3 linked regions of the Danio rerio genome follow. The protein of the gene in region 3 binds, or shares a complex with, the protein of the main gene of each other region. Links are inferred from orthologs where the notes say so. Each region holds a gene or a part of one and is shown on either strand. Other genes may lie near its edges. The genes, in order: eif3ba, eif3f and eif3ja.

What was found.
Region 1: the proteins of eif3ja (region 3) and eif3ba are in contact, whole or in part, in an NMR structure (PDB 2KRB), measured with the Homo sapiens proteins. The link is inferred for Danio rerio from reciprocal best matches to the Homo sapiens genes EIF3J and EIF3B. Residues at the interface, in NP_003749.2 of Homo sapiens: Asp45, Glu46, Asp50, Asn51, Trp52, Asp53, Asp54, Asp55; in NP_001032360.1 of Homo sapiens: Lys202, Asn205, Val206, Ile207, Lys209, Ile210, Lys213, Asn249, Ala250, Asp251, Gly252, Tyr253, Lys254, Leu255, Phe261.
Region 2: eif3ja (region 3) and eif3f share a complex: the UniProt entries of both Homo sapiens proteins name them as parts of the eukaryotic translation initiation factor 3 (eIF-3) complex. The link is inferred for Danio rerio from reciprocal best matches to the Homo sapiens genes EIF3J and EIF3F.

Annotation. Positions count from the first base shown.
Region 1 is NC_133178.1:40,717,162-40,725,325, forward strand, and holds the start of eif3ba (eukaryotic translation initiation factor 3, subunit Ba), read left to right. Parts: upstream 1-2,523; 5' UTR 2,524-2,653; coding exon 2,654-2,756; intron 2,757-3,142; coding exon 3,143-3,335; intron 3,336-4,394; coding exon 4,395-4,514; intron 4,515-6,340; coding exon 6,341-6,398; intron 6,399-6,500; coding exon 6,501-6,629; intron 6,630-6,740; coding exon 6,741-6,898; intron 6,899-8,036; coding exon 8,037-8,164.
Region 2 is NC_133176.1:11,699,178-11,707,341, forward strand, and holds the start of eif3f (eukaryotic translation initiation factor 3 subunit F), read left to right. Parts: upstream 1-3,999; 5' UTR 4,000-4,026; coding exon 4,027-4,138; intron 4,139-4,317; coding exon 4,318-4,388; intron 4,389-5,526; coding exon 5,527-5,606; intron 5,607-6,760; coding exon 6,761-6,898; intron 6,899-8,164. UniProt on the Homo sapiens protein: Component of the eukaryotic translation initiation factor 3 (eIF-3) complex, which is required for several steps in the initiation of protein synthesis.
Region 3 is NC_133200.1:34,318,020-34,324,755, reverse strand, and holds the end of eif3ja (eukaryotic translation initiation factor 3 subunit J-A), read left to right. Parts: intron 1-2,148; coding exon 2,149-2,280; 3' UTR 2,281-3,236; downstream 3,237-6,736. UniProt on the Homo sapiens protein: Component of the eukaryotic translation initiation factor 3 (eIF-3) complex, which is required for several steps in the initiation of protein synthesis.

The sequences.
Region 1 (8,164 bases), on a different chromosome or scaffold from region 3:
ACCAATTTTAAGATCTGATTTCTTTAAAAATCAGTGACCTTCTCTGCCTGATAGATTTTAAATAAAGTGGGTATCAGACCTGACAATAAGAAGCATTAAATTCCACTTTCTCCACTTTATCTTTAAAATATGAAAATGTTCATCTACCCCTGTATTCTGTATTCAACTAAATAAATACCTACTGGTTATACATTACAACATCGATGCTGTAAAGGAACCTTATGAAATTGAAAAGTCACATAAACCTTTCACTGGAAGTTTATCGTTGGCTGGAAACACTAGCTGTGCACAGAGCCCATTATCGGGGGTTCCATATGCTAATGTTATAATTAGTTTAATGATGTTTGAGGGACCTAAGAGAAGATTTAAACAATGGTTTCTATATACAGTACTAGGAAAGATTAGAAACAGTAAACGATAAAATGAGTTTTAATAATTTTTTAGGTAATTATGATTTTACTCATTACAAAAATAAAGTGAACCTATAATGGACAAAAATCTGACACTGAGAAAAACATCGCAAAATAGACGGTTTTTGAAATGAGATGGATCCTGAAAATTTGATCATAAAAACAGAACAAATGAAAGAATCCAAAACAAATCTGAGACGAGGAAAGACTATTTGCGATGTTATTGAGGATTGTAAATTGGGTCTGTCCGGGTTTATGCAGCATTGGAGAAAAAAAAAAAGATTAATCAGAGTAAAAGGATTGAAAAAAGCAGAAATTGGAAACAGCGAGTAGGAAGACCAACAAGAAGATGGAATAATAATATCAAAGAATGGCTAGGAGGAAACGAAACGTTTTCTAAATGATAGTATCAAAAAAATCCCCACTGCCCTCTCCTGCAGAGGCTGGTTGTATTCTCTGTGTTGTAGACCTACACAGACCTGCTTCTGCAGCTGATAATTGCTGCAATGACAGAGAACACACTTTTTTCTTGATCATCTTTGTAATTAAGCATTTTATGTACTGATTCCATTTATATTTAGTGTTACCTAAAAAGTTACCTAAGCAACCTCAAAGTGGGAACACACTAGCATCTCAATTGTCACCCAGAGCAGAGCGATGGGCAGCTACAAAGCCGATGCTAGTGTGAATGAGGCATAAAACTGAAAGCTGTAGTAATGAAATAAGAGCTGAAGCAATTGTTGATGAGAGATGAGCGATGCGCAGCACACAAACAGCATGGGAAGTAGTAGTGGTTTTATCAAATTATGTACATTTAGGGTTCTGTTTTAAATAGGTTCTGTTTGGTCCTATGAAACACTATTTAAACACTATTGAAGGTGTATGATGGTGATTCATGTCATAAGCATGGCAGGTCCATGAGAGTAAAATTGTGGATTTCTCTGGGTTTGAACATTCTTCAAAACATTTGGTATACTGCAAGTACAAAAGTCAAAAAGGTGGTACTGGACATTTCATTTATAGCACATTATTTTCTTCATTCTCTGTTTTCACCTGGGGATTCTTATCCCGAGGCGCCTAGATATTTTGCAGCACCATTAATGCGATCCTAGAAATGATGCCAAGGTCTTTATAATCCTGGACCAGGCCGAATCCTGAGCTGACGCTGCGGCAGTCATAGAGAGCAAAAGACTGATTCCTGAAAGACCCCAGTGACAGAAGAGCCTTCACATTGGTCCTGTGGGTTAGCCTAAGCACCCGCCGGTGACCTACTCACACCTGCAGTTCTACATAATGGACGTTCAGCATTCTCCAGCATCTGGCGCCTAGACTGCAGCTCTGCACAGGAAGTTTGGCCATGGTCATGCCCAATTGAGCCTAGTTTCTTTCAAGGTTTTTTTTTCTTCACTTTCATCAATTGGTAAAGTTTTTTTTCTTGCCACTGGCTTGCTTGGCTTGGGACATTTGCTCTTCAGTGTTTGGACTTTCAACAGTGAAATTTAAACCACACTGAACTGAAATAAATTGAACCTCAACTCTGAAAACTGGATTTAGAGTTTCAATCTACTAAAACTTCTATCTAGGTAAAGCTGCTTTGACACTGTCTACGTTGTAAAAGAGCTAAAGAAAAAGACATGAATTTAATTTTAATAGAAAAATTGTACATATTGTGCCTTTAAGTTTGCATATTTTATAATAGTATAGAAATGTTTTGATTGTTATTAACTTAGTGTTATTGTCTATCTATCTATCTATCTATCTGTCTGTCTGTCTGTCTGTCTGTCTGTCTGTCTGTCTGTCTGTCGCCAGAGATGGACAATAGAACTGATGGTAACATTGCGCGCTCTTGTACGGGAGGTTCTTGTCACATGAACAGGAAGTTCAGAGAGCGATAAGCAGAAGACGAGACCAAGTTCACTTAAAAGGGGTCTGCCATGTCATATTCCACAACAAAACTACACATTGTATACAATTTAACCAAATATCATAAAAGTGTTAAGCTCACATAATCTGCCAATGAAGCAAATTTTTATCCTTTTCCTTCAATTATGCTGTACATGAATCCTAACGCTCCAACAGAGCCCTGAGGTGCTCTCCGCGCACATGGTACGGTCCTTCTCTCGCTCGCAGTGGTTGGCGCCGGCTGCTTTGCACATGGCCGAGTGAGTAAAATATCTGGATTACTGCTGTGAAATTCACCACCACCTTCTAACCAGCACAGACCCACAGCAACCGATCTCTAAATGCGAGATACGGAGAACATGGAGGCCGAAATGGAGTATGACGATGAAGAAGAGCCTTCGTTCAGTGATCCGGAGGACTTCGACGATGACATCAGTGATCAGGGTGAGAGAGAGGCCTGCTTTAGCGCGCCTGCCGATCCCAGTCTCACACTAAACCCCATAGCTCAGCATGTCAGCCACGAGCTAACACAAAAATCCTTTGGTTTATTTGTGTGTCAATCTTTCAAGCTGATAAACTACGCTGTTTCACAGTTAATGCCGTTTTATGTTAGTCAAAGCTTCTCTTTAAGTCCAGCATGTGCGCGAACTAGACAAAAGCATCTTAGCAGTAGCTTTAGGGAAATAGACTAACGTTAGTGTCGTAACAGCATAGAGTCAGCAGCTGTTATGCTTTTGGCTTCAGAAACGTCATTGTACTGCCGTTTTGCTTTAACAAATGCTGTTGTGCTAACTGTACTAACTCTATCTGTGTGTTTTCTGGTCATTCAGAGCTGCTGGGGGATGTTCTCAGGGACAAACCGCAGGAGGCTGACGGCATCGACTCAGTCATCGTGGTTGATAATGTGCCTCAGGTCGGACCTGATCGCCTGGAAAAGCTCAAGAACGTCATTCACAAGATCTTCTCAAAGTTTGGCAAAATCACCAATGAGTTCTACCCTGACGCAGATGGAAAGACCAAGGGGTATGTTTGGGTCTGCTTGGTGCGTTTTGGGATGTAGGGATGCACCATTGGTGACATTTAATCAATAATTGATGCAATACGTAAGGGTAGTTCACCCAAGCATCAACATTTAGTCACTGTGAAGTTGGTTCTAAATGCTTGTTTTTATTTTTTCTAAAATTGTTTGGACGAATGTTGGAAACTAACCAATGATATCCGTAGTATGAACGTTTTTATGGGATTCTATGGCTTGCTGGTTCCAACATTCCTCAAGACATTTTCTTCTCTGGTGCTCGAGTAAATTACAGCATTTTCATATTGCTTGAACTATCTCTTAAATTCATTAGACACTTTATTATAAAAGAAAACAAATATTTAAGTAATCTGTCAAATGCCATTAAAACTAACTAAAAACCAATAATGTTTATTAGCAAAACACAAACTGCATTTGCAGAAAACTGTAACATTGCACAAATATAACTTATCTTTCTTCATATCTTATTATCTTCATATTGAAATCTGCAAGTAATTAACTGCTATTGGGCATCTCGATAAATGGTCTTAATGTGCTTCTTTTTTTTTTTTTAAACATATGCTTTCAAGTCTTTCTTGTAAATTTGGAAGTTCTCAGATAACAATTATTTTAATTTGACGTTACAAGTACTACTGTGTGTGACTAAAAGGCTTAAATGTATTGGTGGTTTAACCATTACAGAAAAAAAGAGGGCAGCTGTGGCACAAACCTTACATTTTTTTTATGGTCTAATAAAATGAGTTGAGCACAAACTATCTGTATTAGTTTTTAGGTTTCTGTTAAGGTTTTAAAGTGTATATGTGTACTAGTTATTAATGGCATGTTTGCAATGTTGTATATATTTTCTATGGATTATAGGACGTATTGACAGATCGCACTATTATGTCTTCTTTTTCATTCTTTTAAAACCTATTTATTCTTTGTTGATTTTATTTTCTTATACTTTTATTCCTGTTTATGTAAAACACTTTGAATAACCACTGAGTATAAAATGTGCTATAGATATAAACTTGTCTATAATAATTTTCCATGCTTTATCATTACAGGTACATTTTCCTAGAGTATTCTGCACCAAGTCACGCTCATGAAGCGGTAAAAAACGCTGATGGCTACAAGCTGGACAAGCAGCACACCTTCCGTGTCAATCTGTTCACTGACTTTGACAAGTAAGTTATCTTTTAGGGTCTGCAGTAGTGTACTGCAATAGGTTGCTTTAATGAAAGAACCTTTACAGTGTTGTATAATTTATACTCAGTATTGTCTATCATTTCCAGAATGCATTTTGGCAAGCTGTTTCTAATGCCTCAAACTTCATTTAGGGCAGATCAGTTCGTCTCTCAATTTAGCTTGAAATATATCAGGGCTGTGCAGATGCTGATATCAGTATTAAAAAAATCTATTAATATTTAATAGATTAATATTAAAATGTAATTTTTTGATACCTTTTGGGATATTTCACCCCAATTGTCGCCTTTCTTTTGCTTTAAGCAAATATTTCAGCTTCTTTCTTCTGATGAACAAAAATGAAGATATATTGCAAAAAGCTGAAAACTGGTAGTCATTGACTTGTATTTTTGTTTCACTATGGAAGGCATTGGCTACCATTATCCAACATTTTTAAAATATATTTTATGTTCGAAAAATAAACTCCTGTAGAGTTGGAACCACATGAGGGAGAGTAAATGGTGAGAATTTATGTTATTTTTGGGTGAACTTTCCTTTTAAATAAAGCATACTACTTGGACTGCATGATGTTGGAAATAACTGACGCTACAATGTTAGATTCTATGTTTATTGCAATATGAAAACAATTTGACAGGATATCTTTATTTAGAAAAGAATGTTTTATTTTTGAATGACTGGGGTGATTTTGCAGAGGAGTAACTCTGCATATAAATAATATCAAATTACAAATCATAAATTAATGGAATAAAACAAAGACCGAAGTAAAAGAAACATTGCTTGTTTTCTGGGCAGTCTTGACAGTATTCAGGGACAGAGCATAATCCAATTTAAAATATGTTACATATTCTATAATCTGTAAACAAAATGCATTTAATCTGTTAGAATGTTTGCACAGCAACAGGCATTAACAAAATGTACAAATGAAAAGTCTCACTGTCTGGAGCTGTAGTTAGAAACATAGTTCCTGGCTGTGTTCTATTCCCACTTATCCCCCTATGCGCTATTCATTTAGAACATTCTAATATTAAAAGTTGGTATTGTTAAAAATAAAAAAAAACATTAAGGTCATCTCTCTTAGGTGTAATTTGCTTTCTAACTATTTTTACGGTTCAGTTTTAGCGATCTTCATGTTTACAAATGTGCTACCTTCGCAGTGCATTTTGAAAATATTGATATAATTTTGAACACAGCCTCATGACGAAAGCTGTGGGAGACCTATTATTTAAAAGCAGAATTTATGCATTTAATACATGAATTTTAATGTATATTACATATACATTTATGTAGATTTCAGTAAAAATGAAAAACAAGTGCATGTTTTTTCCAACTCTAATATTGGATTTTATTTTAAATGCATGTGTGTATAAAACAATATAATTGGCACAAAGAATTTGAGTTTTTCTCTAAAGATGTAGTTACTCCACCCTGTTTAGAGCATCATTATGGGCGTTTTATGTTAAAACTAACGTGGTTCAAGCGATGGATCTGCGACAGAGAAACCACGAGTTTTGGGAAATATTTGTCACGACATCGTTCTTTTCCCAAACGATGCAACGTACTATGATAGTTCAGCTGCGAGTTACGTCGTTGTTTGGGAAACGCACCCCTGACCGATGGTGCATTGTCATTTGGGATTCCTGCCTGATACCTTGTGATGTGACTTGCAGATGCATACATTGTGATGCTGCAGCCCTACATACTTTGCTATACATGCAAAAATGTGGCACATACAATAACATGGAAGAGAAAATCAGGTGATGCATTAATAATCAACTGATCACTAATCTAAAGTCTTTTATCCACATAGGTACATGTCAATCTGTGATGAGTGGGAAGCTCCTGAAAAGCAGCCATTTAAAGATTTTGTGAGTTTAATAATATTTTTGATTGTCATTGTCGTCATAACCTACTGAAAATCTTTTATTACAAAAATTAATGAATGTTAATATTTGGTGTTTCTTTTACAGGGTAATCTGCGCCACTGGATGGAGGATCCTGACTGTCGTGATCAGTACAGCGTTATCTATGACTCTGGTGAAAGAACGGGCATATTCGCCAATGATGTCAAGGAGCCTATTGAAGTGGAGGAGAGAGCGGTGAGTTAAGTGTAATGTTATAGAAGACTATCATTCATCTGTAAGAATATATAGATATTGTGGACGTGCATGCTCTGACAATCAGTATTTTTCTTTGTATCTTACTTGTAGCGCTGGACTGAGACATACGTGCGCTGGTCTCCGAAAGGCACGTATCTGGCTACATTCCATCAGAGAGGCATCGCTCTGTGGGGTGGGGAGAAGTTCAAGCAGATCCAGAGGTTCAGTCATCAGGGGGTTCAGCTCATTGACTTCTCTCCCTGTGAGAGGTATGTCATGTTCTCCTGTTTAGAAATGGCCTCATGTTTGTATTTTAACACATTTTGCTCCCTGATTTAGACTCAAATAAACATTCCATATGTTTTTGTTTCTATACTGTACGTACTATCACCCTATCCTCAACCCAAACCTCACAGGAAACAATTTTACTTTCTAGCAAAAAAAAAATCAAATTCTATATGAAAAAGCCATTTTTGAAAAATGGTGACATAGGACAAAGTTCTCAGAGTTCACCTTAAAGATGCAGTAGGTCATCTGCCAGAATGCTAGCATTAGCATAATAGCATAGAAATTTTACGACCCCTGCCGTCCAAAGCCACGCCTCCTTAAGTTATGAACTTGCAAACGCGCACTGATTAGATATAACACTAGATCATGTCATTCACTAGTTAGAAAACTCTATGGACACAAACTTTATCAAGCATAGTTGTTGACCGGCCAGCGGTTGCAGGATTTAAATTTCCCCAAAACTGTGTCACAGGCTGTCAATGTTCAAAAATGAACAAATGTGTGAATATAAATCAAACTTCGCCTCAGTAAAGCTGAATAGCTGATCGGAAGAGCTCATTTACTTGTGTTTTGTTGTTAAACTAAATAAAAATTACATCAGTAAAAATGAGTGCTAAAAACAGAAATATCCTGTCATCCTTTTACATTTATGTTACCAAGACAATGAGTGTCATTTTCAATTGTGCTCGCTGATTCTCGTACATTGCTTGTTTTCATTTTTTTTTTACTTGAACAATTAAACAAATGCTCAGGTCTACTTAACCGATTATATTATGGATGCTGTAATCGGTACTCCACGAACTTGAAAATAGCCAATCTTCTGCGGGATGTTTTCAGTGGTTCAGTTGAGGTTGAGTAAATGAGCATCAAATGAGAAGTTGACTAATGGTTAACATCGTTAGTGATAACATTAGTTAACAGTCATAATCCTGGTCATCCTTTCATAACGATAATTCAAAATAACCAAGTAATGACTAATAAATCATCCTTGTTACTACTTGATTTAACTAGTAGGGCATTTTCAGTGCATCATTTTCTATTACAGTCAAATTAGTAATTTTTATTTCAGGTTAGTAAACCTTTTTTAATGTTATCCTTTTTTTTTTTTTTTTTTTGCAGGTATGTTGTTACATTCAGCCCTCTTATGGACACTAAAGACGACCCACAGGCCATCATTATCTGGGATGTTCTCACAGGACAGAAGAAAAGAGGCTTTCACTGTGAAAGCTCTGCCCACTGGCCAATTT
Region 2 (8,164 bases), on a different chromosome or scaffold from region 3:
TATTGTGGCCTACATTCTGAAAATACTGGGTTGTTTTAACCCATTGTTAGGTCAAATATGGACAAACTCAAGTGTTGGGTTGACACAAAAAGTGTAATTTAAATTTAATTTTAAAATTGAATCCAAAATTGGGTTTGTCTATGTTTCAGAGCATTTTTTTTAGAATGTATATAAATATCTTGAAATCACTTGTTTGGGCTTTCTCTTTGAGGTCTGTGTTTTAATTGGGTTGATCAAGCCATAAGAATACTGCACTTGAGCTATGAAAGTAATGAACTTTATTGCCATCTGCTGGGCATATTGTACAGTCAAATTTCCTCCGTCAAGGCAGGAGTGACAACTTAACCTAATGTTAATTCATTCATTCATTTTCCATTCAGTCTCTTATTTATCAGGGGTCACAGGGGTCAGCGGATGACCTTCTAGCAGCAACCCAGTACTGGAAATAACTCATTCACACACGGCCAAGTTAATTCATCCAACTCACCAATACCACATGTCTTTAGACTGTGGTGGAAACCGAAGCACCCAGAGGAAACCCATTTTAACACAGGGAGAACATGCAAACTCCACAAAGAAAGGCCAACTTACCCAGAACCCAGGACTCGAAGTAACCTTCTTGCTGTGAGCAGTCAACAGCCTACACTGAAATCCTAACAAGTTGTTTTGACAAAGTAAACCATAAAAAAATAGTAGTGATAAAGTTTTCTTGTCATTTCTGGCACCCGGCATGCTTTAGTCTTCCTGTGACCTTGACGTCAAAGGTTGTTTACGAGTTTTTCCTTGGATTTGGAGTCCAATCTTTTCCTTCATTGTTCCTGGATTGCCTTGCAGCTTACAAACATGACCTTGAGAGCTGCAGGCACACACAACAGTTTGTGTTTCTGGTTTGTCACCATTTATTCTGCAAAATCTTGTAGAATGACTATATATATATATATATATATATATATATATATATATATATATATATATATATATATATATATATATATATATATATATATATATATATATATATATATATATAATTTTTTTTTTCAAGCAAAATTGTGATTAACCAATGACTAAAAATTCACCTAATGCAAAAATGTGAATCTACTCATAATTATTTTTAATAAAAGCTAGAAATTAAATCAAACTAGAATAAATCAGGTCTATGCTCTTTCTTGAACTTCTCATATACTGCTTAATGCTTTCATGTGGTTCATGCCAGTTCTTTTGACACTACCATTTGAAAGTCAAAGCAGAATTCGAATCTCGTCAAGCCAGATAAACACTTTTCCAGTCGTCTACTGTCTAATTTAGTGTATCTTGGTGAATTGTAGCCTCGGTTTCTTTTGTTATCTGACAGGAGTGTCTCCTGTGTAGTTTTCAGCTTCAAGGTTTGACATGTTGTGTTCAGAGATGCTCTCCTGCAGAACTCAATTGTAACAAGTGCTTATTTTCATTCGCCTCTTCCCTCTGGCATCAACAATGCATTTTCACCCATGAGAAATGTCACTCCCTTGGTATTTTGTGAGTGAAAAAAAATCCCTGAAACTTTGCAGTTTCTGAAATATGCTCAGGCAATCCACACAAAGCCAGGGTTGCATTGTGAAGCAAGTCTTTAAAGAACAAAAAGAAAGGCAATATCTCAAATGTGTTAAATAAGGTGCTTTTTATTAGAGTGGCTGATTATAACATACAGTAAACAAGGTTAGCATAATGGAGACAGCTGATTGGTTATATTGTAATATTCGCTATATCTGAGATTATTTAGCAAATGTTACAACTGTAAAACCTTTTTTTTGTTAACCTACTTTTATTTAATATTAGCTTTTCCATTACTTGTTTCTCATGTGATACTTCAAAATGTGCATTAAAAATGGTAATGGAAACCCAAAGGAATTTAAAAGAAACCCTGGGTAGTTGGCCTAATATAATGTAAATGGTGTTTATCATTTAAAAACACACTTATCTTGGACTTACTGTGTGGGGGTCGGGCGACATGTTGGCTCAGTGGTTAGCACTGTCGCCTCACAGCAAGAAGTTCACTGGTGTGTGTGTGTGTGTGTGTGTGTGTGTGTGTGTGTGTGTGTGTGTGTGTGTGTGTGTGTGTGTGTGTGTGTGTGTGTGTGTGTGTGTGTGTGTGTGTGCATGCGTGTGTGTGCGTGTGTGAGTGAATGAGTGTGTATGGATGTTTCCCAGTACTAGGTTGAAGCTGAAAGGGCATCCGTTGCATAAAACATGTGCCGGAATAGTTGGTGGTTCATTCCGCTGTGGCAACCCCTGATAAATGAATGGACTAAGCCACTCATTATTTTATGTGCAAGACAGCAGTCGCTAGTCAGAAACCACATGTCTGAAAGTTGCAACCAAAAAACACACAATGTGGCAGATACTAATATTTGAATTGTTCTTATGTTTGTAATATTGAGTTATTTTGATGTAAAAATATCAACAGGCAGTGTCAATATAACTCAGCGTTTCCATCTGAAACTTAAAATTAAGGCACCACCAGTAGTCCAAAATGCATGTTGTTTTTTTAAATAACAAAGATTTTTCAAATGTTTCCAAAGACATAATGTAAATAATGTCTCTCACTGAAATTACATTAAGTGCCCACACTTTTTCCTATGAAGGGCTTGATTGAGGGTGGTGGGCCGAATGTAAACATACCAAACTCTATTTCATTAAAGTTGCATTGGTGGTTTCCTAATTTAATATTTAAAAATAACTTTAACATTGCTTCATATTATCTTATGCAGATTTTATTATATAATGAACTTCATTCATTAATTCATTTTCTTGTCGGCTTAGTCCCTTTATTATTCCAGGGTCGCCACAGCGGAATGAACCGCCAACTTATCCAGCAAGTTTTTTATGCCAGCCGCAACCCATCTCTGGGAAACATCCACACACACACATTCACACACGCACTCATACACTACGGACAATTTAGCCTACCCATTTTACTGCATGTCTTTGAACTGTGGGGGAAACCCACACAAAGGCAGGGAAAACATGCAAACTCCACACAGGAACGCCAACTGAGCCGAGGTTCGAACCAGCGACCTTCTTGCTGTGAGGCGACAGCACTACCTACTGCGCCACTGCCTCACCTGTATAATGAACTTTTTATAGTAAAACAAAATTCATTTAAAACAGAATGGAGTTACACTAGTAAAGCTGCACCCTCTGCCTTGACTTGTTTATTTTCATTTACCTTTTTTTTGTAGATCAGCAATAAAATAATCAAACAAACCAAGGTTGCGTTAAATTAGAAATTAAGATCTCTGTTAAAGGCAATTGTCCCAACCCTCCCTATCAGTCTCTCTTCTCAGATGGGATGGTGGGCCAAATCAAAGATTATCAAGGGCCAAGTTTGGCCCACATGCCCTAGATTGGATACCTCTGGCCTAAATGATATGTTATTACAACAACTAGGCCTATAGCAAAACAAGTTGCCCAATAGCCTGTGGTTAGTTATATATTAGGCTACATGATAATACATCACAATTTACTGTTGTAAAACTAAAATATACTACAGTTGCCTACACAGTTTATTATAGATAATGCAGTAGCATTTATTAGCATGTGTTGTTAACTTAATACTTTATAGTATAGGCCTACAGTATAATAAACTTTACTATCATTTGTTTCAAAAACACTATCGTAGCCAATTTACTATGAATTACTCCATTATCTTTTCATGTGCGTTGTCTTGGCCATGTTTTCATCATGTCTAAATGTTTTGGATTGCTGCCATGTGGTTAGCTGATCCGATTTTTGGCATTAACATGCAGTTGTGTTGCTATTAAATTGTCCATTGAAAAAATGGATATGTACCAAGCAAACCTCGAAGAACTTTAACCTGACCCACCCACTAAAACTTTACATGCTGTGTTTAATTATTTATTTGATTATAATTTTTTACACATTATTTTGTCAGCCACCTACATCCGCTAGGGGGCGGCAGCGCGAATCCCACTGACGCGCTCTTCTTCTCTGTTTATCATCATCTTTTACTTCCTCTTCGAAATCATGGCGGTGCACGGCCCGGTCGTGAAAATCCACCCGGTGGTTTTGGCTTCGATTGTGGACTCATACGAGCGCAGGAATGAAGGAGCGAGTCGCGTGATCGGGACATTATTAGGTGGGTCATTGAATTCTTGTGTGAGATTTATGAGACAGTTGCGATTATTACAAACAACATGAGCGTCGCTTGGTCTTGTGGAGCATGTGTTGTAGTCGAGCTGAATGGCTGGGGTGGATGAGAAACTGTACAGATCAGCAGCATCACTTACCTGGTGGTTGTGTTTGTGTGTCAAACAGGAACAGCAGATAAACATTCAGTCGATGTCACCAACTGCTTCTCTGTTCCTCACAACGAGTCTGAAGATGAGGTGAGAAAAAAAGCATCATCTAATACATCCTTTACATTAGTGTGTGCCAGACATTTATGTAGCTTTTTAGGCATAACGAAAAACAAAACAATTTCACATCACAGGTATCTCACTGTAACTTTGTAATGGTCTAAAGGGTTCGAGTGAGACATCTGTGGTATTTCATGTTCTGTTGTTATGCATCTTTAGCTAATTGATTGGTTGAAATACACTTACAAACCATCAGCCAAAATTGAAGTGAGGTAAAGTTGATTTTATATTTGCACATTCAGACTTTCACCTTCTTAATGTAATTTCAGAAAGGTATTCTTTGTCAAATCCTAAACGGTCAACTCAAATTAACAGCCAGTGACTATTAAAGTACAACATTGTTTACAGTCAGTTAAATGGTGCTAATGTGGATTTAAAGTAGGCATGGGCCGGTATACAATTCTGACGTTAATATTCTTTAATATAAATATCACATTTTCACAGTATTACATAGTGATTACGGCTCTGCTAAATGGTAGCGCTCCAGTTTTTTTTTTTTTTTTTACTGTTTACAAACTGGTAATTCATCTATAGCAGATAATTTTGGCGGTTTTAAAACATCAGTTTTTTTTTTAAATCACTGTGTACCTTGAAAACGGTTATCGTCCCATGCCTATTTTGAAGTCATGCATTTCAGACCGATTATTCAATGTAGCCTGGTAAACAATGTAGGGACCTTTCATAGAGTTCATAAGCTTTTTTTTTTTTTTTTTAACTATAACAATTTGCTAATTTATCTGTATTAGCCTTTTCCCAGAGATGGGTTGCGGCTTGAAGGGCATCCTCTGCTTAAAAACTTGATGGATAAGTTGGCGGTTCATTCTGCTGTGGCGACCCCGGATTTATAAAGGGACTAAGCCGACAAGAAAATGAATGAATCTGTATTAGCCTCTTTAAAATTTGCTTTACTATTTTATTGAACACGAGTGTCTGAATGTTCAAATATAAAACCAACTTAATTCAAAAGTGTCATGTTACATGCTACTGTATTTTTGGACATGTACCATATGTTATTTATGCTTTACTAAGGAGCACCAGCATTTAATCATCATCATTGTGCAATTTATTTACCTTTTAAAATTATTTTTATTTTATTTTTTTTAAATAGGTGGCTGTTGACATGGAGTTCGCCAAGAACATGTATGAGCTTCATAAGAAGGTTTCGCCGAGTGAAGTCATTGTTGGATGGTATGTGGCCGCATTTCCAAATTAATATAATTCTTTTCTTTGCTAAAGTTTTGTTAAGTTATTGTTGTAAGCACATTTTTTGTTATATTTTTAGAAGGTTTAGAAACTTTTGTGAACATTTGTTATTTTTCATTTAATGCATTTTGCTTTGCGCTATGGTAAAATAACTAAAATAAGAAAATTAAATAAAATGATATTTTTTTCTCCTACAGTCCCATGATTTATTTTTGCAGCCATTTTAAATGTATATCTCATGTTTACAAGTTTATATTTCACAATTCAGATATTCATTTCATTTTCATTTGTTGTTCTTACAGTTCAGTTTATATTGCTACTCTTTTTTTTAAGTATATTTGCCTTTTATTCCATTGTAAAAGCAAGCTTCCATTAGGCCTGTCACGATATATCTAGTTTTTGTTGTACGGTATATTGCACCAAAATACATTGCGATAAATGATTTTATTGTGATTTTAATACCATTCTATGCCACTCATTATATAATACCAGAATGACAATATAATATCACCACAATGCAAGTACACTCATACAAAGAACACATAATATTTTATTGTTAAGACTATTTAATTTAGTTATCCTATGGCTTTGGAATGAGATTGTAAAAACGCATATCATAAATAATAATAAATGTTAACAAAAAGGTGCAAGGCAAAAAGTAACAGAAGCTGTGATATCTGCTAGCAGATCTATTTTTAGTTGTCAGACACCCACATGAAAATCTTCTATAGCAATTTATAGTAAAACCTGTAGAGCTTTTTAAACCATACTGACACCTCAATAGAGATCGAGATGTTGCAAAACCAGCTGAAATGTTGCTAGAATTCATTTTTATGTATGGGCGATATATATTGCATCACTAAAAATGTCTGAGGTCATGTCAATATAATATGACACGGCTTATCAATGCGATAAGTTCATATATTGATTACTGTGACAGGGTAGCTTCCATAATGTAGGTTATATCTATATATCAAAAAAGAATAATTATACAGGTAACAGAATTATTAGAACTTAAAATGGAAAATATTACAAAAATGACTATCTAAAATATTTCAAAATATAATAATAGAATCTGATTTCAGATAAACTTAAGGAATGTTGTTTCACTGAAGAAAGAGGCTGTGTTGTTTTTGCAGGTATGCCACAGGATTTGACATCACTGAGCACTCGGTTCTGATCCATGAGTATTACAGCAGAGAGGCTCCAAACCCTATTCACCTCACTGTGGACACGGCACTGCAGAGCAACAAAATGAACATCCGGGCCTACGTCAGGTAACACAACCACAACAAACAAATGCTGACTAGTGTACAATAATCGCTTATGAATTAAAATTTTATGTTTACATAATAATGTTGTGTACTATCTGTGCATATTTGTTATGGGTATAAATAAATGCATGTATCCACGTATATGCATATATAGAAAATGCTTGTTTATATTTATATTATCAAAGATTTTTTTATAGCAAATGATATAATAATTTATACAGTTTAAGTCAGAAACTAGGGGTGTCAAAATTAATCGTTTCTTCGGTGCACCTCGATGCAGACATGGACAATTTGGTATCGGTTCAGTAATAATCATAACTGGTTAATACTGACGTCATTTACCTCATATGCGCTCTGTCATGAGGGAGGCGATAGTGAGTATTTACAACGCTCTAACTACTTAAAACTCATAAACTGTGCACGATTTCACTGTGTGTTTGCTGGATCAGTCTTTCACTGACATATACAACTATTTCACTGAGATCGAGAGAATGAAAGTACTCCATTTCTCTCTCTCTCTCTCTCTCTCTCTCTCTCTCTCACACACACACACACACACACAGTGGCTAAAGAACCGAGCGCGTGTCTTCAGAGTTTTCTCCACCATGTCTATCATACATCAGCTGTGAGATCGCCCCTGCCGCTTATCAGTGTCACTCATCTGTGAAGAGCGCAGCACTTACGTTTTTTATCGCAACCGTGTTTGTTGAGGGTGTGACCAATCAAAGAGGTGTGAGAGAACTAGACAAGGATCAGAAATTGAGCTTGATATTTATATTTGTTTATATTATTTGCTTAATGCTCGTTTTGTTTAAAGTTACAGTTTATATATCTGACTGTTTGCATTAAATGACAAAATTGTATTACAAATAATATGTAAATATAAATAACTTCATACATTTTAATACAAGAACTGCTGCTGTGAAGAAAATATAAAACTCTGTATGAAAAGCACCGTCAATGCACCGTGATGCACCGAAATATCGAATTCAACCGAATTGATGGCATGATAATCAGAACCGAACTGTGAGACTAGTGTAGGTTCACAGCTCTATTCGAAACTGTAGGTCTTTTTTATTTCTGTTTAACGGAGAGAAGATTGTTTATTACATTTCTTAATATAATAGATTTAATAACTCATCTCTAATAACTTATTTCATTTTTGCCATGATTACAGTACAAAATATTATACTTATTCATCCTTCTGCACGCTGTTTCTGTTGTTCTGCAATAACACTTCCCAAACGCAAGTTGGCAGTGAGGTGTTAA
Region 3 (6,736 bases):
TACTACTCAGTAGGTACTGCATTTGAATTTAAACGTGCTACTCGGCCGTTAGAAAAGTACGTTCTATACAGTATGAACGTGAAAAGTATGAATGGAATTCGGACAGACTACATCCGCCATTTTGTCATGGTCACGTGACCTACCTGCGTCAGTTGCGTCGCTTTACTCCCATTCATGAATTCGCTCGCGGGGCATCATTGGATAGCGCAGCATGCATGGGATGCGCACTCTAGAATCTCGCCGGAAGTAGTAAGTCATCCGGGTACTTCTCGCATACTGATTTTCGAATTCTATGAATTCGGACATACTACTCGGTTTGCATACTGATTTTAGCGTACTATATAGTTTGGAAGTATGCGGTTTCAGACGCAGCACATCTAAAGATTGAATCAAGTCTAGTGATGGGAATTTTGGGTAATTTTAAAATCTAGTTTAAAAGGGTAAATGTAGACCATTTCAATATGGTCATATCAGTCGCCCATAAACATTTCCTGCTGGTTATCAAAGTATTTCATAACTATAGGCAATTCAATCATAAGTTCATGTTAAAACGGCTGTCATAACATCATCTATCAACATGTGGCTCTTTTTGGATTGTCGAAAGCTAAATGTAAAACAGGAAATACGTTGGGAAAATGGTTTTTGTTTACATTTGTCAAAATGGTCTATAGAAGCTCTAATGTCGTGTTCACACTAAATGCAAAGAGAGCATTCAATTCATTCGCTCTAAATTACTTGTGCGATAGTCTTCATTCATTCGCACAAATGTTTTTATCATCACAAATGATGTGAAGAACATCCTGTGAGTATAGACATGGATATAAACACATTCTCTAAAATGCTGTTGTGTTTGGGTTTATGTCACCACAAAGAGGCGCACAAACCTTAATGAATTTCACCATCTTCTAGAAGAAGTAGGGTCTGTGTGTGGACTGCAAGACCGGGGCGTAACTTGTGGTAGAGGCATAACTTGAAGTTATGAAGACCCACATGTCAAAATGTACCAATCAGTTATTAATGTCTACTCCACACCTAAACCCAGCCATCACAGTTAATAACGTCTATACCCACCTAAACCCAATCATCATCATTATTAACGTTTACACCTTCCCTAAACCCAACCATCAGTTATTAACGTACAGCTGCGAGTTGCGGAGACTGTCATATTTGATGTGCTCGCCATTGTACTGTTTTTGCAACCACAGAAGGCGATGCCGAGTACTGTCATGACAAAACGGATGAAGTCGGCGAGTAAGTTGCATGGTGGAGTTGCTAAATGAATGTAATAATATATCAAATGAATAGGTTGTGGATCAATTCGGAGAAAGCTCATGAAAATGCTCTCTGTTAAGTATTTTTGTCATCTTGTTACATCTCGCAATGGGATCTCGATGACTGTAAGTTACACCTCTCTAACTTACTACAAGTTACGCCCCTCCATGTTACACCTTGTCTTGCAGACAGATACACTTGTCTAGAACTGCATCTGAGGTGTCCAGTTTCATGACTTGCTAATACTGGCATCTGCTTGCGACTTATATTAGAAACATTCCCCCAACCGGCAATATCATAGCCAGAGGCCCATGCAGCAGTGCATGTTCAGCTCCTCTGCTTGTATCCCCAGCATCACGGACAGGCAAATTCTTTACTTGTGTTGAGTTTTTTGTATACATTGCGCATGTTCGATGCAAAGCATCAGTCCCAAGTTCATCCGTTTTGCTGTTTATCGGTAGCCGCATTTCGAGCCACCTGTTCAACAAGTGACGGAACCGTGGATGCAAAGGCCATCCACACAAACAAATCCGTTCGATTCAATTCCACGAAATCGATTTTGTGAAAGGGTTTACTTACTGTCTGTGCTGCAAGTCCCATTCAATCATTTTCCTTCGGCTTTGTCCCTTATTCCATTTGATTTATGTAGCGGATGCCCTTCCAGCTGCAACCCATCACTGGGAAACACCAAGTCACACATGCACACACATACACTGATTTTGGCCAATTTAATCTAATCAATTCACCTATAGCGTGTATCTTTGGACTGTGGGGGAAACCCACGCCAACAAGGGGAGAACATGCAAACTCCACACAGATTACTGTGTACCTTAATATAAAATGTGTTCGTAATTGTTTTTTCCTCCTATTCTATAGGCAAACAAAGGTAAAAAGAAAAAGAAGGGAGTTTTACCAGGGGGAGGTTTAAAAGCCAAGATGAAAGACGATCTGGCAGATTACGGCGGGTTTGAAGGCGGTTATGCACAAGACTATGAGGACTTCATGTGACCAAGGCTTAACCCAACTCTAACTTTTTTTGCTGATTGCTGAACCACACACACCTTAACAGCATGACCTTCTCCCACTGTCAGGCCCACAACCAGAACATGCTAAATAACTCTGAACGTCATCCACGCAATGCACACTTTCCCATCAGAGAGTACCAATAAACTGCGCTCTTTTCCCTCTGGCCTGTCGTGACTTTAGGTTGGAATAATAAACCCGATAAAACAAATGTGAACCTGCAGTATCAGTTAATCCCCACAGCCCTGGCTTAAACAAACAAACAAACAAACAAACAGTGTTATTGTTCGGTATTTCTAGGAAATAAATGACGCTATGCAAAATTCAGTCCGGATTGATCTCAATGTCATTACGCGACATTAACCCTTTATTTGTCTACGGGATGTTCCTTTTTGCAAACCAGGGCGATTAACTCAACCCGAAATGTTGATATCGAAGTCACGTGGTTTCTAAATCATGTGTACAATCACGTTTATTTTGATCGTAGGCTATAGTGAGCTCATTTAGATAAGTCAATCTAGAGTGTAGCGTAATTAACGTGAGCATAACGCATTGACAATAACGCCTTTACGTTTGTAGCTCGTAATGCATTCCATGTGTCTCAGACCAAAAGCATTACTCTGATTTGTTTTCGTCGCAGCGGTATTTGGATTACCTCAATTTTTGCAGAGTGAATTACGCAAATATTTACAGATATAACATTATGCCGTGGTTCATTTGAGCTCAGCCATGCTAGCGTGATTTCACACACACGCTATGCTGATGTATAAGGGACTGAACGTCGATGTAGGGTCTTTTCAGCCGGCGTTTGGCTTTCCATTTTATTGACAATTCGCAGCGTGGTAGAGATGCTTCATAGAGGCTTACGATCAGCAAAGCCGATGATAGGACTCTGCACTGTTTTATAAAGATCTAATTTAATAAAAGTTGCTTAAAATCCAGCAGTGGTTGTGTGTTCTTTGCTTTTTTTGGTAGTGTATTTTTAGAGCTTGTAGATTCTTTCTGAGGGCTAGAGACAGGGTTTATACGGTCATGGAAAACCTGGAAAAGTCATGGAGCTTTGACATGGCAATTTCCAGGCCTGGAGAAGTTTTGGAAAAGTCATGGAAATTAGTTGAACAAATATCTGTAAACTTGAATTAGGGCTACGCGATATTGGAAAAATCTGACATTACGGTATTTTGAATTTCTGTGATTTATATATTATGATGTGAATACAATTTCATCAGATGATTTAAAAGGAATCTCGAATAATATATAACAAATAAATTACAAACATAGATCAATAACGTATAGTAGAGATAAAAGTGAATGATAGTTTTCAGGTATTAAATAATCAACTATGCATAGTCTTTATTGTATATTAGTTAATCTTTATTAAAGTTACAAAACATTTCGGTAACACTTTATAATAACTACGCACTATAAATCATTTATTAAGCATCAGCAAATAGTGAATTCATTATCTGTTAAGCATTAATAAACGTTAGTAAGCAGTTTATAACTGCAGCTACAAATGCTCTATTCTTGACTTATAACCACATTTAAAATGTGCTTAATAATTGTACTTTTGTACTTAGTAAATGATTTAGCCTCCTCTTTAGAGCATTCCACTCTCATGCAGGAATTGCTGGTTCGATCCCTGCTTGGAACTGGACCAGTGGGTATATGATGAATGTAAATACCTTGGATTTTACTACAGTCATCGGTGGTTGTAATGTAGCTTACCTTAAGTGTAAAAACAGCAGTAAATGAGTAATTTGTTTATATTACTGTTGTTGTATTACTACATGAATGAGTTGGGGTCCGTTCTTCTTACCTCGCTTAAATGATCTAAGATGATTTGGCAGATCCTGGATCTTTTCATCTCGATAACTGACCTCTGGCTAATTTGGTTCTTCAAACTCGCGAATCAGATTAGAATGTCTGGATGAACTGATCTGAGATCACTGGATGTGTTGTGAAGGAAAGAACTATCGATCATCGAAATCATGATCAGCAATGCAGCGATTGGCTGACGGCAGCGTGATGACATCAACTGATTAATGTTCAATTATCCATGTGAGCAAAATTACATCAAATTAGAGGTAAAACGTTTGTTAACTATGACACGCAATAACCTTCCACATTTGTTGTGAGCTGCAGGCTTTACATTTTCATGTGTCAAGGGTATTCATCATGTATTTCAATGTATTTAGTTCTACATTTAGAAAAGATTTTCTTTATTATAGTCGCCGTTTTTTAATCGGTGTAAATAATAACTTGATGTTTACAAAAGCATTTTGATATTGGTAAAGGCGTCTGCAACTTTCGTGAAGCATCAAATCACCGGCATATTAACTATCAAAACATGTTTATGACTGCATAAATGTATTATTGCGTTTAAAAAAAGTCACATATTATGCATTTCTATTATACACAATTTGTTCTAAAGCGATCTAGAAAGTTCATACCAGTAAGTTTTCTCTTTGCACCACCAGGTGGCAGACTTTGTACTTTCATTTCGAGGGTGAAGATTGCATAAGTTTTATTAATATGTATAACTTAATATGTAATTAATATGTACTAATATACTTAATATGTATTCATATGTATTTATTTTGTTAATAACTATAACTTTATAGTTAAAAATAGTTACTATTTTTCACGTGTATATAACTACTACTGTAAGAAAATATCAGCATTCGGTACATACTTTCAGTATTTTCTTTGCATGCACTGAGCCGATCTAATCCTGTTTATATGAATTGAACCTGCTGCCGAGCAGGTCTGATCTACCAGAACTGTTGCTATGACAACAACTCTCGGATCAGCCTTGAAGAACGAAACGATCCTGGATCGTGTCAAATCGTCAATATCCAAATCCAGCTAACTGAGTAAACCCTTGGTCAGTAGTGAACATTTGAAATTATTGCAACACAATGCTTTCCCACACTTTAACCAGAAGAGGTCCTCATCGAGCTCTGATTTAGAAAGCTTCAAGTAACGAATATTTTTCCGATACAATTGAGTCGAGCGCTTTAATGGTTCAGAAAGCTTCATGTCACCATCACTACCTTACCGTCCTAATTAAATCATTAAAAATCAAGGCATGATCTTATTTTATTTTGGTCAAATAAGCTAAATATAGAGGCATTTGCCTTTTAAGCTACGTCTGATACCAAATGAGCAACTAGAAGTCAAGTGATTATGTGTTGCTCCTAAAACTTGGATAGGCGACAAGACTTTTGTCAGGTAGTGTACTTTTTAACTAGTTTCATCATCTAATATTTTACAATCTGAAGTAGACGTTCATTAAGGATAAAGCGGTCAGGGGCGTGACCTTTGAGACTGTTTGAAGAACCGTTCAACAGAAAACCGAATGCCAGACGGAAACTGGTGTTTTATGGCGCAGCAGCTTATGAAAACACGCGCACACAGGTCTTCTCAGATAACCTGCCAATGTCCCAATCGTGTCCTTGTTGCTCGTGGCCGATTATCTTGATCGCGCCGTCAATTGCACCTGCTGCTATTGGTCATGTGACCTGCGCACAAAGGGTCCAGTCTTTTCCCCTTAGTCCAACTCACTGGTTTTCCAACAAAAAGGAAAACAACAGAGCGATTGTAAAGATAAGACTTGGGGATAATTAACAGCAAATCCAGACTCAACAAACGTAATCCATTGGTCGTGAAGGAGGGAGGAGGTTTGCTTTTTCTTGAGCGTTCTTGGTTTTGTGGGCCGTTATATAAAAGGGGTGTACGGTTGAGGTCAATCCGTCTTGGGTAACATGCGTCCATGCATCTTGCTCATCTTGTGGATGATAACGGCGGTGGAAATGGAGGAGCAGAAGATCCTCCAATCCTTGCACTGTCCGCCCTGTGAACGCATCCACTGTTCCCCACGTCGGGCGCTGAAGCTCCAGTGTCGGGGTGGCATCACCACTGGGATTTGTGGTTGCTGTCCGGTCTGTGCTAAACTGGCAGGGGAAAACTGTGGAGGGACTTGGGATTATCTGGGGAAGTGTGATGAAGGGCTGGTCTGCATTCATGAAGAAGCAGCAGATGGAAAAGCAGAGGCCGAACTCAAGGGAACCTGCAAATCAGGTACCAGTGAAGCTGGAGATGAAAAGATCTTCACTCCGCATGTTGCATATAATACTAGAAGTCTAAAGGGATGCATGTGCTCAGGGAAAATGCTGGACCTGAAAAAAATCATGATTAAAAAAAAAATGAAGTTCTAAGTGTGTTACGTTTAAAATAGTGAATGACGGGATGGAAATGTATTGCTTAATATGTTCGATATAGGCTTTTAAACTGGAGTCCAGGGACCCACTGGAGAAGCAACAAGTGGCTGCTTGGGAGTTTGCAGAAGTCTAAAAAAACATCAATAATTAATTAATAAATAATATTGTTGACAATATAACTTATTAAATGTTTCATACTTTATTATATTGCTTAATTT